Linked DNA regions of Pelodiscus sinensis. The protein of the gene in region 1 interacts with the protein of each later gene in a pairwise test. Links are inferred from orthologs where the notes say so. Each region holds a gene or a part of one and is shown in the gene's direction. Other genes may lie near its edges.

The links.
Region 2: the proteins of CEP126 (region 1) and HMOX2 interact in a two-hybrid assay, tested with the Homo sapiens proteins (2 studies listed by BioGRID and IntAct). The link is inferred for Pelodiscus sinensis from reciprocal best matches to the Homo sapiens genes CEP126 and HMOX2.

The regions. Positions count from the first base shown.
Region 1 is NC_134711.1:304,296,463-304,303,393, forward strand, and holds the start of CEP126 (centrosomal protein of 126 kDa), read left to right. Parts: upstream 1-3,912; coding exon 3,913-4,070; intron 4,071-6,900; exon of another isoform or gene 6,901-6,902; coding exon of another isoform or gene 6,903-6,910; coding exon 6,911-6,931. Other genes in the region: ANGPTL5 (angiopoietin-related protein 5), read right to left, coding at 3,729-3,890. UniProt on the Homo sapiens protein: Participates in cytokinesis. Necessary for microtubules and mitotic spindle organization. Involved in primary cilium formation.
Region 2 is NC_134726.1:3,838,090-3,846,043, forward strand, and holds the start of HMOX2 (heme oxygenase 2), read left to right. Parts: upstream 1-4,937; 5' UTR 4,938-5,091; intron 5,092-7,954.

The DNA.
Region 1 (6,931 bases):
CAAACAATGATGGTCTTCAGCTGGCTTCACAGAATGATCCCCATCACAAAAGGACATATGAAGAGACCTGGAAACAAAGGGAGAGAAGCAGCTGGGTCCAAGTCAGAGAAAAGATCTGCTCTGTCCTGAAGGACTTTACCTGAAATAAGGACTAGTGTGAGAAAATATGATATGTTACAATATCTCTTCGTGTATTAGTCTTAGCTGGCATGTTTTGTATATTTTGACTTAGTATCTCACTTTGATCTGTCTGTCATCACTTGCAACCACTTAAATCCTATTTTTTATACTTAATAAAATACATTTATTGTCAAGCCCAGTATAAATAATTGTTACTTGTGGAGAACAGCTGTGCATATTTCTCTTTCACTGATAAAGAGAGTGAACTCTATGAGCTTTCTCTACGTAAAACATCTCTACTGATTCCCGGCTCGTGCCCAGTCCCAGATGCTGCGACTCTGCTTTTTAAATGTATTAAGAGCTGGTTGGCAAAAGAATCTCTCAAAACTGGGTGACTAGGCAACCAAATGGTAGATGAAATGTAATGTTTATAAATGCAAAATAGTCCACATGGGAAAACATAATCCTAACTATACAAATAAAATGATGGTGTCTAAATTAGCTGTTATTACTCAAGAAAGACATCTTGGAGTCGTTGCGGATAGATCTCTGAAAACATCTACTTGATGTGCAGTGATAGTCAAAAGAGTGAACAGAATGTTGGGAATCATTAACAAAGAGATAGATAATAAAACAGAAAATATCATATTTGCTCTATATAAATCCATGGTACATCCACAGCTTGTGCATATGTGATTGCCCTATCTCAAAAAGTATATAGTGGAATTGGAAAAGGTTCAGAAAAGGACAACAAAAATGATTCGAGATATGGAATGGCTTCTATATTATGAGGAGAGATTAATAAAACTGGCACTTTTCAGCTAGGAAAAGAGACAATTAAGCGGGGATATCACTAAAGATCTATAAAATCATGACCAGTGTAGAGAAAGTAAACAGGGAAGAGCTATTTACTCCTCCTCATAACACAAAAGCTAGGGGTCACCAAATAAAATGAATAAACAGCAAGTTTAAAACAAACAAAAGGAAATATATTATCACACAATGTGCAGTCAACGTACGGAATTTTGGCCAGAGGATGTTGTGAAGGCCAAGACTATGATAGGGTTCAAAAAAGAACTAAATAAATTCGTGAAGGATAGGTCCATCAATGGCTGTAAGTGAGGATGGATAGGGATGGTGACCCTTGCCTCTGTTTCCCAGGTGCTGGGAACAAGCAACTCAGTGAATATCTGTTCTTTTCATTCTCTCTACAGCACCTTTCCTTGGTTGTCTGTGGAAAGACAGGATACTAGGCTAGATGGATCTTTGGTCTGACCCAGTATGGCCATTTTATGCTCTTGTGCACCCCAACTCTCTTGTCCCAGTGTAACTGTCACCAGATAGATTTGAACCTGGGAAGCTTAGTATAGGAGCCTCTACCCTTTCAGCTATACTGTAGAGGTCTCTTGTTTTTATTTGTTGCTGTGGTCTAGGTGCCACTTCATGGGACAGAGACCCAAACTAGGTATGTGGGTTACACCAGCTCTGAGCTCCCTTCCACACCCAAACTCCCTCTCGGAGTCCAAATCCCTACCCTAGCTCGAAACACTCCCTGCACCTACTGGTGACTGCTAAGGAGGGACTCAAGACCGCTGGCCATGTGACTGCCCCCATATGACTGCTCCCCCATGCCACTATTAGAATGGGTAGGTATGCTAAGAGATGAGTTATTGACTAATTGTGCAGTCGATACAATTTGTATCCACCACACAATATGTCTATAAGAGAAGGGCTCTGTGCTGGCTTGCACTGGTCCAGGAGCTACCCCTGCTGTAGCTCTGCAGTTTAAATGTAGTAGAAACTGGGCGTGCAGGCAGCCTGTCTCCTACTACATTTAAACTGCAGAGCCGCAGGGGAGGTAGGTCCCAGACCATTGAGAGCCAGGACTGAGCCAGATTTGCTTGGTCCTGGCTCTCACCAGGTGCAGCAGCCCCTATCTGCAGGGGGTCCAAGCAGGGTGTGGACAGGGACTGCTGCTGGAGCAGTCTCTGCCTGAGGCCAACCTGGACCGCCATGAACAGGGGCTTCTGCTGGAGCTGGTGCAAGCCAAAACCAAACAAGTCTAGCTCAGTTGTGGCTGGGGTCAGTCTGGGACCGCTGTGGCTCTTACTACATTTAAAATGTAGAGACACAATGGTCCTGGCTCTGTCCCAGCTCATGCCTGATAGAGACAGTGGCATGGGGCAAGTGGCACCACAGAGACGGTGCTGGGGGAACCAACTTTTAAGCTGGATCCCCCCAGCACTGGGTCCATTCCCCTCTCCCCTTGCTGCCTCTGATACAAAAGCAGCAGCAGGGAGGGAAGCGAGTAGTCGAATAGTTGACTACTCACTTACATCCCTACTGGGGAGGGCCCAACTTCTTCCCATCCCCATCCCACATCCACTCCATCCTTTCCCCAACCTTGTGCTCCACCCCTCCCCATCCCTGCTCCACCCTCTCTCTTCCTCTAATCCACTCTTTCCTCAAGCTCACCCTTTTCTCTCCCCCCCCCCCGCTGAACAACATGGCCCAGGGGGCAAAATGGGGGATTTGGCACCAACAGCAGCAGTCAGCTTTTGCCCTGTACTCCACAGTGGAGAAGCAATCCGACACAAGCCCACTCTGTTCCTTTGGCTCTAAGTCACATTGCTCCACTTCTCTGCCACTGGTGAGTGCAAAGGGAGGTGCCATCAGTTCAACCAAGTTCCTTTCCCAGCGACACAGCTAGGGGTCAGGGGAGCAGAGCAGGCTAGGGCTGGGTCATTCTGCTTCCCGCCACTGCCATTAAGTATTGGGGGACCCAATCGCTGCTTCCAGTGTCAGGCCCCCTGCTAATCTTCATCCCTGGGGAACAGGGCTTAAGGAAAGTGGAGGAACTGCCCTCTGCACTCACCAGCTGTGGGAAGCAGAGGGAGGTGGAGATCTGCTTCCCACCACCTGCTAGTCCCATGCACAGTGTGGAGCCCCTCAAAGTTAGATGAACTGTCTTTAGGACAGGATGTCTCTGGCTGCTGGCCCCTTGGCTCTACCCCCAGTGGCATTCAGGGGGCACACAACTGTTAGTGCCCACCCTATATCTCCCTGAGAGGAGTGGGGGGGCCTTGGAGGAGTAGGGCAGGGTTGGGTCCTTGAGGAATGGGCAAGACAGGGGGCAGGCCAAGGATGTTTGGTTTAGAATCATTAGAAAGTTGGCCACACTAGCTAGTCTTTGAGGTGGAGCTTTAAGAAGACCAACAAACATCACAAGATTTGTAATACAATTGTGAGTTGGCAAAACGGTGAACCTTTATCTATGAATGTGTCCTCCTGTGTTTGGTGTTTTTTGTAAAGCTCCAATCCCAAGAGTCATGTGACTTCATATGATATTCAGCTTTCCGGTTTGTTTTCTTTTCTTTTTTTCTAAATAAAAAGATCCCCGGGTGAGTATTTTTTTAAAAACCTGTTTGTTTTTGGATGGTGAGCTCAAGGCTTTTGAGCCGGTGGGAGGAGCAACCTGCTCCTCACATACTTCTCTCCGCAACTCCCAGCCCCGCCCCCTTCCCTGGCTCATCCCTGTCTCCCAGGCGCTTCTCCCGTCCCGGCCCCAGGCTCCTCCCCCACGTAGGCCCCGCCCCCGTCTCCCTTGCCGACGGTGCCCCAGTTCCTCTCTCTCCCCTCGCGTTGCCCCTGGTTTCCGTTGCGAAGGAAGCGGCGTCCGTGGTTGCCAAGATGGCGGCAGGGCGGCCGAGCCGCAGAGCGATGGGCGCCCCCGCCCAGCCCTGACCCAGCAGGCAGGCAGGGACCGGCATGGGGGCGGTCCGGCGGGGCTGAATGGAGCCCGGCGTGAGGGGCGCGGGGGGCGTCAGCCCCGCACAGTGGGAGCCGGGCTCTGCTGCGCCGGGCGGGTCCGGCTGGAGGAGCCTCTTTCGCCCGGCTCCGGACTGCGCGCCTCAGTGCCACGGCGGCACCTTCGCGGGCAGCGCGTGCGCGTATCCTTCGCGGGTGCAAGGCAGCGGGGCTCTGCGGGGGCAGGGCAGGCGGCACCCCCGGGAGTGTTGGAAAAGGGGGAGACAAGCCCCAGTGACAGGATGTCTGGGAAAGAAGGAGAGGAGGTGCGCGGAATGGGCCCTGGGAGGAGGGAGGCTGGGATAGGAGGGCAGGCCCCGTGGGGCAGCTCACTGGGGATGTGCAATTAGCTGTCCCACAAGGTGGCTGCCTCAGGAATAGGTGGGAGTGCCACCCCTGCATGGATCATTCAGTTGCCCTCATATTTTGATGTGGATGGGGTTGGCCCAATGGATGAGCTTATCTTCCTGAGTGGTTTTATAGGAAGAGGCATTGTTAGGGTACCCCACATACCCAGTCCCTGTGAGGGCCTCCAGTATGGTGGCAACATAGGGTTATTATTGGATTTGGAAGCTAGAAGAGATAATTTTGACCATCTTGCATCAATATATTGTAATATTACAGAAGATACATTGGCATAAAATATCCTTTTTTTAGATTTAGCCTTTTAACATCAAAGAGAATAAAAGTATCTAAAACCGTGTGGGGACTGAACTTTTTTTCTGTTTTTGGAACTCCTTTAATAAGAACAGCCATGCTGGGTCAGACCAAAATTCTAAAGGCCAGCTAAATCGACCACTGATTGCAGTCCTGTTGACTTGGGTACTCCACTGGAGTGAAAAGAGTAAAGGAAGCTAAAGGAGGAGTTTCTCCCATCGACCCCCAGTAGTGGCGATGCCTTAGAAACTTGAACTAATGTATGTTGACTCCAATTATGCTAGTCACGTTGCTGGAGTTGCATTCCTTATTTTGACATTGCCCCCAGGGTAGACCAGGCTGAAAAATTTGTTTCCCTGTTCTCTGTAAAAAAACAACATTGGTCCTGTAGCACCTTAGAGAATAACAAAAATATATAAATAGTATATGAGTTTTCGTGGGCACAACTCACTTCTTCAGATGGCATATAAGAAGTGGGTTGTACCCTAGGGATACTTATCTGGTAGTCGAGTCACTACTTGAGTACTCGCTTCCTCACTCCTCCCCTCCCTCCCCCTGCTGCCTCTGTACCAGCTCTTGTGCAAGAGGGCTTACACTTGTTAGAAAAGAGTGAGTGTAGCTCTTGTGCAAGAAGCCCTGTCTTCCAATGCTGTACTGTAAATCTTCTTGTGCAAGAGCGGGCGAGCAGTGTGGATGCTCTGCGGGTTCTTGCACAAGAATGGCAGTTCTTGTGCAAGAATCTTCCAATACAGACATAGCCAAGCAGTCCCCGCTCGCACCAGGTCCCAACTGATATGCCTCTGCCTTTGAAATGTAGCAGGAAAAGCCCGCCGGGACTTTTGTTACATTTCAAAGGCAAAAGGGCCACAGTTCCGTGCTCCGCCTCTGCCTTTTAAATGTAGTAAGAGCCACAGGCATCTCTCATTACATTTAAAATGCAGCGGTGCAGCTGGGATAGCGAGCGCCACATCTACCCCTTATTGACTAATCATGTAGTTGATGGAAATTCCATTGACTGCTCATTCCACGAGGAGTAACGGTAGTTCGAACTAGGAAGCCTAGTTCGAACAACCTAGTTCGTGCCGCGTGTAGCCGCGCGGCACGGGGTTCGAACCAGCCGGGATTTAAAAATGGCGGCGCCCGGCTTATGCAAATGAAGCCCGGGAAATTCAAATCCCGGGCTTCATTTGCAATTGCGGTATGCCTACATTACCCTGCTAGTTCAAAATAGCGGGGTAGTGTAGACATACCCTTACTTGCTTCAGGACCAGTGTTGTTTTTTTAACTGTTATTAGTTACAGACTAACACAACTACCCCTCTAAGACTCTGTATTACCTATGTGCCTAGTAATTGTATTTCTGCTGCACCTATTGCTATAATAGCTAAGCATAAGGGAAATATCTGATTAAATATTATTATGATTTATTATTATTATCAGGGCTCGACAAATTGTGTAATCTACTTGCCTATGGCGAGTAGATTACAAGCTGGCACAGCCAGCACCACTCGATCTGCCCATGTGCAGCGCAATCTGTGCATGCGCAGCTCGCAGAACCGCACGGCTGGCGAGCAGGGCTCGCCACCACTTGGTGAGCCCTGATTATTATTTATTTTTGTTAAGTGGTGGCATGTTTGGTTTTAAAAAGACAAAGAGAAACACCCAGTCTCTAAACCAAAAGAAACTAACAGACGCTGTGTTAAGACAAGGCAAATATTGGATCCTGCTTGACAGTAACTGTATATGTATGTATTTTAAGCAAGATATTGAAGAATTTTGAATTGTAATTACTCATTACATTACAGATTAAACAATTATCATTTTGGAGGTTTTAAATTTTATTTTAAGAAATATTTTCCATTTGATAACCTTGCTATTTGGTAGATCAGATCATAAAGAATGATGTATCCTCAGCTCTAAATAGAAAAACTATAATTCTGTGTGGTACCATCATAAACCAAGAGTGCAAAGCCTGAGTGATAGAAATTGAGAGATGGAATTGCATTCTTAATGTATGTATATTAAGACAGTACCTTATTTAAAATTATATCTTTATGATAAGCCATTGCCTAATTTGAAGAATTATCATTTTTAGTTTAGTTATGGATAACGATTACATATTCTCAAAAAAGTCCATAACGCTCAAGTCATGTAAAAGAATCCATGCAAATAGGTTATTATGTCCATGACGAGTATAATTTTATATCTGTGGCTAAGACTGCAAATTCATTTGCAATCAGTCTAAAACTTAATAAGAATACTAAATAGAAATTTCAAGGATTTTATATGTATATATATATTTGTCCTTAACATAAAGTCATGGTCAGAACTTTGAAATTTCTTCTTGA
Region 2 (7,954 bases), on another chromosome or scaffold:
TGGAAGGATCCATCATCCACCCTACGTTTAGCAATGAGAAACTTCACCTCTAGCATTAGACCCTCGCTTGTGGAGTTCCATAAGACTCAACAGTGCCATGCAACAAGGTAGGCTAGCAGAGCACAAGGAATTTGGGACTACTCGGCATATGCGTAAATCGGAAACTGATTTTATTCAGGGTCAGAGAACCCAGATCTTCACTTCACAAGCCTGCAGGTGCCTGCAGGAACCAAGAACCTGGGAAATTCAGGGGGTGATTAATGCTGCTCCATTTGCTCTGCTGCTTTCCCCCGATCATCTGAACTGCATAACCACAGCAGTTCCAGCATCATTCCTCTTGGCTCCTTTGCAGTCAGCAAGGCTAGAAATGCACTTATTTCTTTGAGTAAAAGCTAAGAGATTTTGCCAATGCTGACAGTGTTGGGAAATCGTATCAGTGGAGTTTTGCCAGGCGTCCTTAACTTGAAAGGCAGAGTCTCGAGAAACAATTTAAACCTACTTACAAAAATGAGAACGTGAGCCAACTTCATTTAAACCCTTCAGTTCATATTACAATACTGTTTTAATCCCAGTGCGGGAAGAACCTGGCCTTTGTTTGCTCGGTAGCATAATCTCAGCCACACACACACCCTTCAGTCTAGTCTGTGAATGAAACCATCACTCTGTAGCTAAGCCTTGAGGCATTGAGCCCATTCAGCTCCCATCTTCAGGATCATTCCCATCTGCCGTGGAATCTTCTGATCCCAGCATTCCACCATTCTCCCATTCATAGATTCCAGGACGAGAAGAGACTGCTGTGATCGTTCAGTCTGGGCTTTTGTATAGCACAGGGCTTGAAACGTCCCCAAAATAACTCCTCGAGCAAAGCTTTTAGAAAAACAGACCATCTTTATTTGAAAAATTGCCAGCAATGGATACGCTACCGTGACTGCTGGTAAATTGTTCCGATGGCTAATTACCCTCACTTAGAAATGTACGCCTTATTGTCCAGGCTGAATGTGCAGCAGGCACAGCTGGGGGAAGAGTGCATGTCCCTTGTCTGGGGGACAGACAAACTCTCTGAAATATATAGTATATAGTAGATAGCTGGCCCTTTCTTCACCCCTGCGCCCTGCTGGCCCAATGAGGGTATAGCTAGCCTGGTCCCCATCTGGCTCCTTGCTGCCCCATCCCTGCCAGTAGTCATTCTACACGAGCCCTTTCCTTTTCCACATTATAGAAAACAATCAGATTCTAGGCACATCCCATTGTCCTGGCACAACCAACCCCTGACCTTGCTTTAAGTTATGATAAGAGGAAGTTGGCTACCGAATTTGGTGGTCCTAGCTCTTACCCTTTAGGAGGAGTTCTTGAACAAAGGGACTCAGACAGATGGACAGGCTGACAGACGCACATTTCTAAAATATATAGTAAGATTATATATCAGGGAGGCCACTCCAAGAATTTGGTAAGTGGTCAAGGGCCACTCTCTTCCATGATATTAATGGGGGAGATGTGAGATCTGGGAGGGAATTTGGGTGAAGGAGTGGGTTGTGAGTTGGGGCATGAGTATATAAGGGGGTGCAGGGATTTGGGGTATGATCTGGGGCAGGAAACTGAGGTACAGGAGGAGGTGTCAGGTCTGGGAGGGGGTATAGGTGCAGGAGAGCATTCTGCTCTGGAGGAGGGGTAGAGGTCAGGGCACAGGGCATGGGAGGGTGTTGTAACCTGGGGCAGAATGCAGTGGTTTAGGTGGTGACCTAGGATAGGAGGGGCTTGTGACCTGAGCCAGGGGATTGGCATGCAGGGTCTAGGAGGAGATATGGGTGAAGAAGCATGATTGTGAACTGAGTTAGGGATGCAGGTGAGAGGACAGAGGGTTGGGAGGAGGGTGTGGGTGGAGTGCCAGGTGCAGGCTCTGCCTGGGAGGTGCTTACCTTAGGCGGCTCCCAGCCATCAGCCCAGTGGAAGCCTCAGGCAGGCTCCCTGCTTGCCGCAGCCCCACATACCATTCAGAGTGGCCAACTGCAGGGGCCATGTGCTCTCTGTGTGTTGCACTCTCCTGGGGGAGGGACGGGGACTTCCACATGCTACCTTACAGGGAAACTAAGACAGGAATCCATGTTCTCAGGCTCAGGTTAGATGCCCCAGTTAGTCAATGAGTCCGGAATTTATTTAGCGCAGTTCAGTTCAGAGCAGCAGCTTATCCATGAGTGAAGGATATGAAAGCTGCATCCAACACAAAGGGTGGCAGGTGGCACTGAGAAACTGAGCAGCAGAACAAGTAAAACAGCAAATCCTTCTCTGTGTCTAATTCAGGAGTTCTCAACCTTCACCATCGTGGGAACCACCCCTTACTAAAGAGTGTCTTGTGGGCATTTCCCTCCAGTCATGACTGCCAACCTCCTATTTATGACTGCTTGCCCATCTCCTTTCCTTCCTCCCCCCTCTGTTTGCTTGCAGACTGATTTCCTTGTCATTCACCATCATATATCTTCTCCATGGCAACTGAAGCAATTTCTTACAAATCACATTCAGTGTTTTAGTATTTGTCATTTCCTTTAATGGAAAAGAACAGCGGGAAAAAAAGAAGAACCAGCAACATGCGGCCAAACAGCTTTCTGCGGTTGCCCTAAAAGGGCCAGAGTTTGTGACCTATTGTTTTAATTTAAGATTGTGGGGAGAGACTTTTCCTTGGGAGGCCGAGGAGGAGCTTGGGAGAGGAATTATTCTTCCAGGAGCCTGAGAAGCATGGGTCAAGAAATTCACTAAGGACAGAGGATTACAGAAATATCCAAAACACAAAACCTGCTAGCAATGGGGGATCTCTTGGAAATGTAATACGGCAAAACACAAAATGTCCATTAAGTTCTTGGAAGGTATTGTAGACAACTTTATCTTCCAAGACAAGACAACTTGTTCCAGGAAATGGAGGAAATAACTGGGGGACAGCTGTTTTTGACTTGATTCTCATGAATACGAAAGACTTGATAGGAAGCTGAAGGTGGAAGACAGTTTGGGTGAAAGCGACCATGAAATGATAGATTTCATGATTCTAAGGAAAGGAAGGAGTGAGAGCAACAGAATCAGGACAATGGATTTCAAAAAAGCAAATTCACTCGAAGTACTGGTAGATAAAGCCAGATGGGAAGAAAATTCTAAGGCCATGTCTTCACTGGGGGAAGATTGATGGTGCCATGATTGATCTTCCGGAATTCCATTTAGTGGATCTAGTAAAGGCCCGCTAAATCAAACTCAGAGAGTGCCCCTGTCATAGGTCCTCACCTTGCTCTTGTGGGGAGTAAGGGAAGCCAGTGGGGGAGTTTGCTCCCATCAGCTTCCTGCTGTGGGAACAAGGGGAAACTCTAATTAAGGCATGTCAACTCCAGCTATGTAATTAACAGTGCTGGAGTAGCATATCTTAATTTAACCTTCCTCTTTATTGTAGACATGGCCTAAGGGAAAGAGGAGTGTAAGTCATCGAGCTTGTTCTCAAGGAGACAATGTTAAAGGCACAACTGCAAATTATCCTTCTGAAAGGAAAGATAGGAAGATTATTAAGAGGCCAATATGGTTCCAACAGGAGCTCTTTAAAGACCCACAAATCAAAAAGGAATTTTACAAAAAGTGGAAACGTGGACAAATCACTAAGCAGGTATACAAAAGAATAGTACAAACCTGTAGGAACAAACTCAGAAAGGCTAAGGCACAAAATGAGTTAACTTAGCAAGGGTCAGCAAAGGTAATAAGTTTTTAAAATACACTAGGAGCAAGAGAAAGAGAAAGTGTAGGTTACTTTTCTTATGAGGAAATGAGTGAGCTATTTATTACCTATCTTGCTTTAATCTTAACCAAAGTGGTCAATGGTGACCCACTGAATAGAATTAATATTAACAAAAAAGGGAAAGATTAGGATAGGAATAGTTAGATAATTTAGAGTACTTAAGTCAGCAGGTCCTAATGACATGCATCCTAGGGTACTTAAGGAACTAGCTGAAGCAATTGCAGAATTGTTTGAGAACTCGTGCAGGATAGGTGAGGTCCCAGAAGAGGTAATGCCTACTTTTAAAAGGGGTGATAAACGAGGACCCAGGGAATTATAAACAGTCAGCCTAACTTTGATACTAAGCTATTGAAAACGATCAACTTATAAGCACCTGGAAAAGAATGGGCTTATAAGGACTTTCTGTCGTGGATTTGTGAGACCAAATCGTTCCCTATCAATCTGATTTCCTTTGTTGACTGAGAGTGCGGGGGGGGGGGGGGGGGCAGAGGGTGGGGTGATCTGGGGCTAGGAGAAGGGGCAGGATGGGAGGTGCGTGGATGGGTGCGATTGGAGGGTCAGTGAGTCTAGTCTATTGCCTAGCGCGGGGCGGGGGGAGTCTGGCAGGCCCTGGGGCGCTCAGTGCTGGTGACAGACAGGATGGGACACAGGGGCTACGTCTAGACTGGCATGATTTTCCAGAAATGCTTTTAATGGAAAAGTTTTCCGTTAAAAGCATTTTCGGAACAGAGCGTCTAGATGGGCACGGACAATTTTCCGCAAAAGCACTTTTTGCGGAAAAGCATCTGTGGCCAATCTAGATGCGCTTTTGTGGAAAACAAATCTCAGCTGTCTACACTGGCCCTTTGGCACAAAACTTTTGCGCAAAGGGGACTTTTGCCCGAAGGGAGCAGCGTAGCATTTCTGCAAGAAGCGCTGATTTCGGACAGTAGGAAGTCAGGGCTCTTGCGGGAATTCAAGCGGCCAGTGTAGGCAGCTGGGAAGATTTTCCAGAGAAGCGGCTGATTTTCCGGAAAAACGGGCCAGTCTAGACACAGCCCCTGAGGGTGTTGCAGGAGCCAGGGACCCAACCCCCAGTGGGAGCGCAGGAGCCGCCAAGGGAGCGGAGGGAGCAGGAGGCTGCGCACCACGACCTGTGGGCGGGGCCTCTGCAAAGGGGTGGGCACTGTTACGTCACCGCGCCGATCACGTCAGCCTGGGCTGAAGGACAGAGAAGCGCGGCGCTGCCCCGCCCGCACATGAATAATTAATCCCCGCCGGAGGCTTTTGTCCCGCCCCTTTCAGCAGCCAGGGCAGCTGCGGCGCCGAGGGGAGCTGTTGCCGAGCGGGTGAGCGCGCGGGAGGGACTAGCCCTGAGGGGGCGCGGACCCCCTGCCGGCCGGGTGGGCGCGCGGCCGCGGGAGCCGCCTCGGGCAGGGGCGGGCGGCCCGGGGAGCGAGGGGCCGCGGAGCCGTAGCCCTGGCAACGGGCGTTGAGCCGGGCGCGAGCGCGGGGGCCGGGCCGGGGTGGGGCGCGCGCGGGTGGACGGGGCGGGCCCGGCGGGGTCCGCGCCCGAGGCCTCGTGTCACGGCCGCCCTGGCCGGGTGCAGCCGTTCCCGCCTGCTCCCCTCGCCCCTCCTTCAGCTTCGGTCTCCTCCCGCTGGGCCCGCCTGTGCTGGGCCGGGCTCCGCCCTTCCCTTGCTGCCCCGGGGCCCGGCAGCTGCTGCTACTCCCGGAGCCCGGCAAGTTTCGGGTGGCCGCAGTGTGGTCCGGGTGGCGCTGGGGTCTGGCTCTCCCCGTGCAGCCCCTGCCCCTCCCCGCCGTATTGCGCAAGGGCCCAGCAGTCCCCTTGCCCCCCATCTAGCTACTCTGTGTCGATCACTGGCCGACCCGCAGCGTCCTCCTCGTTAAGCTTATTGCTTAAATCATTCTGGTTAGGAACACAATAGAGCCTGTGCATGAGCGTATCTTTAAGAATAGAGCATACTTGTGTGACTGGAGGTCTCAGGCTAATTTCAGTGTTGCGTGTCTGGAGCTGGGTGTAAAAGGAACTGATGGGCTTGCTAAAAATTCTTCGTGGTAACGGGAGTGCGTTGCAAACAAGCAAGCAAATGTTTGACAAGTATTATGCGTGGATGAGTAACTGCATTACTGAAGCACAGAATTATAGGACTGGAAGGGATCTCAGTAGTTCACTCCCCTGCACTCAGGACTAAGTATTATCTAGACCAGCGTTTCCTCAAACTGTGGGTCCTGATATCCCATGGGGTCGTGAGCAACTTAGAGGGAGATTGCAAACAATTTAGAGGGGGGTTGCGGTATCATAAGTTTGAGAACCTCTGATCTAGACCATACCTGGTATGTGTTTGGGGTTTTAAGAGTAGGTAAGATGATGCAGATTTTGCAACTTCTTTAGGTAATTTATTCCAATGTTTAAATACCCTAATGGGAAGCTTTTCCTAATGTCCATCCTAAACTGCCCTTGCTGCAGTTTAAGCCTGTTGCTTCTTGTCCTATCCTCAGTGGTTAAGGAGAACAATATTTCTCCCTCCTCCTTATAACAACTTTCTCCAGATTACATAGCATTTTCTTAAGGAAGGAACTGTTTGTGTTGAGAAGACAGATTAGATGACTTTGTAAAGGGCCATATCACTGTAAGTAGAAATACCCAGAAAACACACTACCTGCTTTCTTATGGTATAAATGACTCATAAATGACTTGGTATTTTTATCTTTCTCTGTAAACAGTTTTATAAAAATGTACTAAAGAAATGGAGCCAATCGGAGCAGAGGCAGCAGGGCACTAGAAATATATTTAATCTGCTAACCATGGTAATCCATTAACAAGACACAAACAATATGTTACTCTTTTCTACATGCCTTATTTCTGGAAATCACTCAGGAAAATCTGCAGTCTTCTCACTCCAATGAAATTGGTTGGTACAACAGACTATGCCAGGCCTAGTTACATTTCTAATATGCCAGTGCATCAATCATAATGAAAACTGCTTGAACAGTGGTTAATTGATCCAGTGAGCCATAATTTGTGACCTAGCAGAGACAGAGATTTTCCTAAAGTAAATGTCAAAAAACTGCTGCTGGGAATTTAGTTTCCTCAATAGGTTCCTTCTGTTGTCTAGTCAAACCACAGGATATACTTGGACAATTTCAAAATAAACCAATAATGTGATTTTTTTTTTTTAATCGAAAGATCTTCAGTTTTCCCGTATGTCAGCATTTCCTTGTAGTATCACAATTCATAGATGTACTGCTTTTTGCTGCCCACCGGATACCTCTTCCGCTTAACTCCAGCTGACTCCTGAAGAAACTGACTGCTGTACTAGAAGTATTGTCTCTGGAATATCTTCATTCTGAAATCAGTTATAGGCATACACCTCTGAATTTATCTAGTTGGCTTGCTGTTTTTTTGAATTGTTTAGTGTTGGGCTTACTAAGTGTCTTGTTCAACCAGATGATTAACAGTTTACTCCTCTACCATTTAGGAATCAAAGATAATCTCTTGCTTGTACTGAGATAAGGAAGCATCCATCCCAGATGTGTTCCTTCCTGCAATCTTGAAAAGAAGATGGGAAGGTTCACAAATATCTACTCTTAGCAATCACAGGAAATCTCCCACCTGTTCCCAACAAATGTGAACAATAAAACTAAAAGATCATGTCCCTGCTTCATCAGATCCAGTTTCCTGCTTTTGGCTATGGACATACATTATTGTATGTTTAATTGAAAAGTGTCATACAGGTAGTCCCTAAGCTACAAATGCATCGATTTACGACCGTTCAGCCTTACAACCAACCTCCCATTAAGCATGTCCCCGAGTTACGAACACACAATCCGCGCTTAAGAACAGCGCAGTTACATGTAATTGAATGGGGTCCGACTTACAAACAGATCGAGTTACAACCAAGTGCTTGGTATGTAACTCGTTTGTAAGTTGGGGACTATCTGTACTCCTATAACGTACTTGGTCAAATGCAGCATGGCACATGAGCTTGGAGACACAATCATGTGAGGGACTACGTTCTAGCTGCCACAGTGGAGTGACAGTAACATGGAGGATGTTCCATGATATCATGGAAAGCCTACTCTCATCCATTTTTCCCCCTTCCATTAAAAAGCTCTTCTGCCCTCTTATACCCTGTATTTTCAAAAGAGACGTGGAACTAAATTTTCTATGGCAAGTCTGGCAACTGT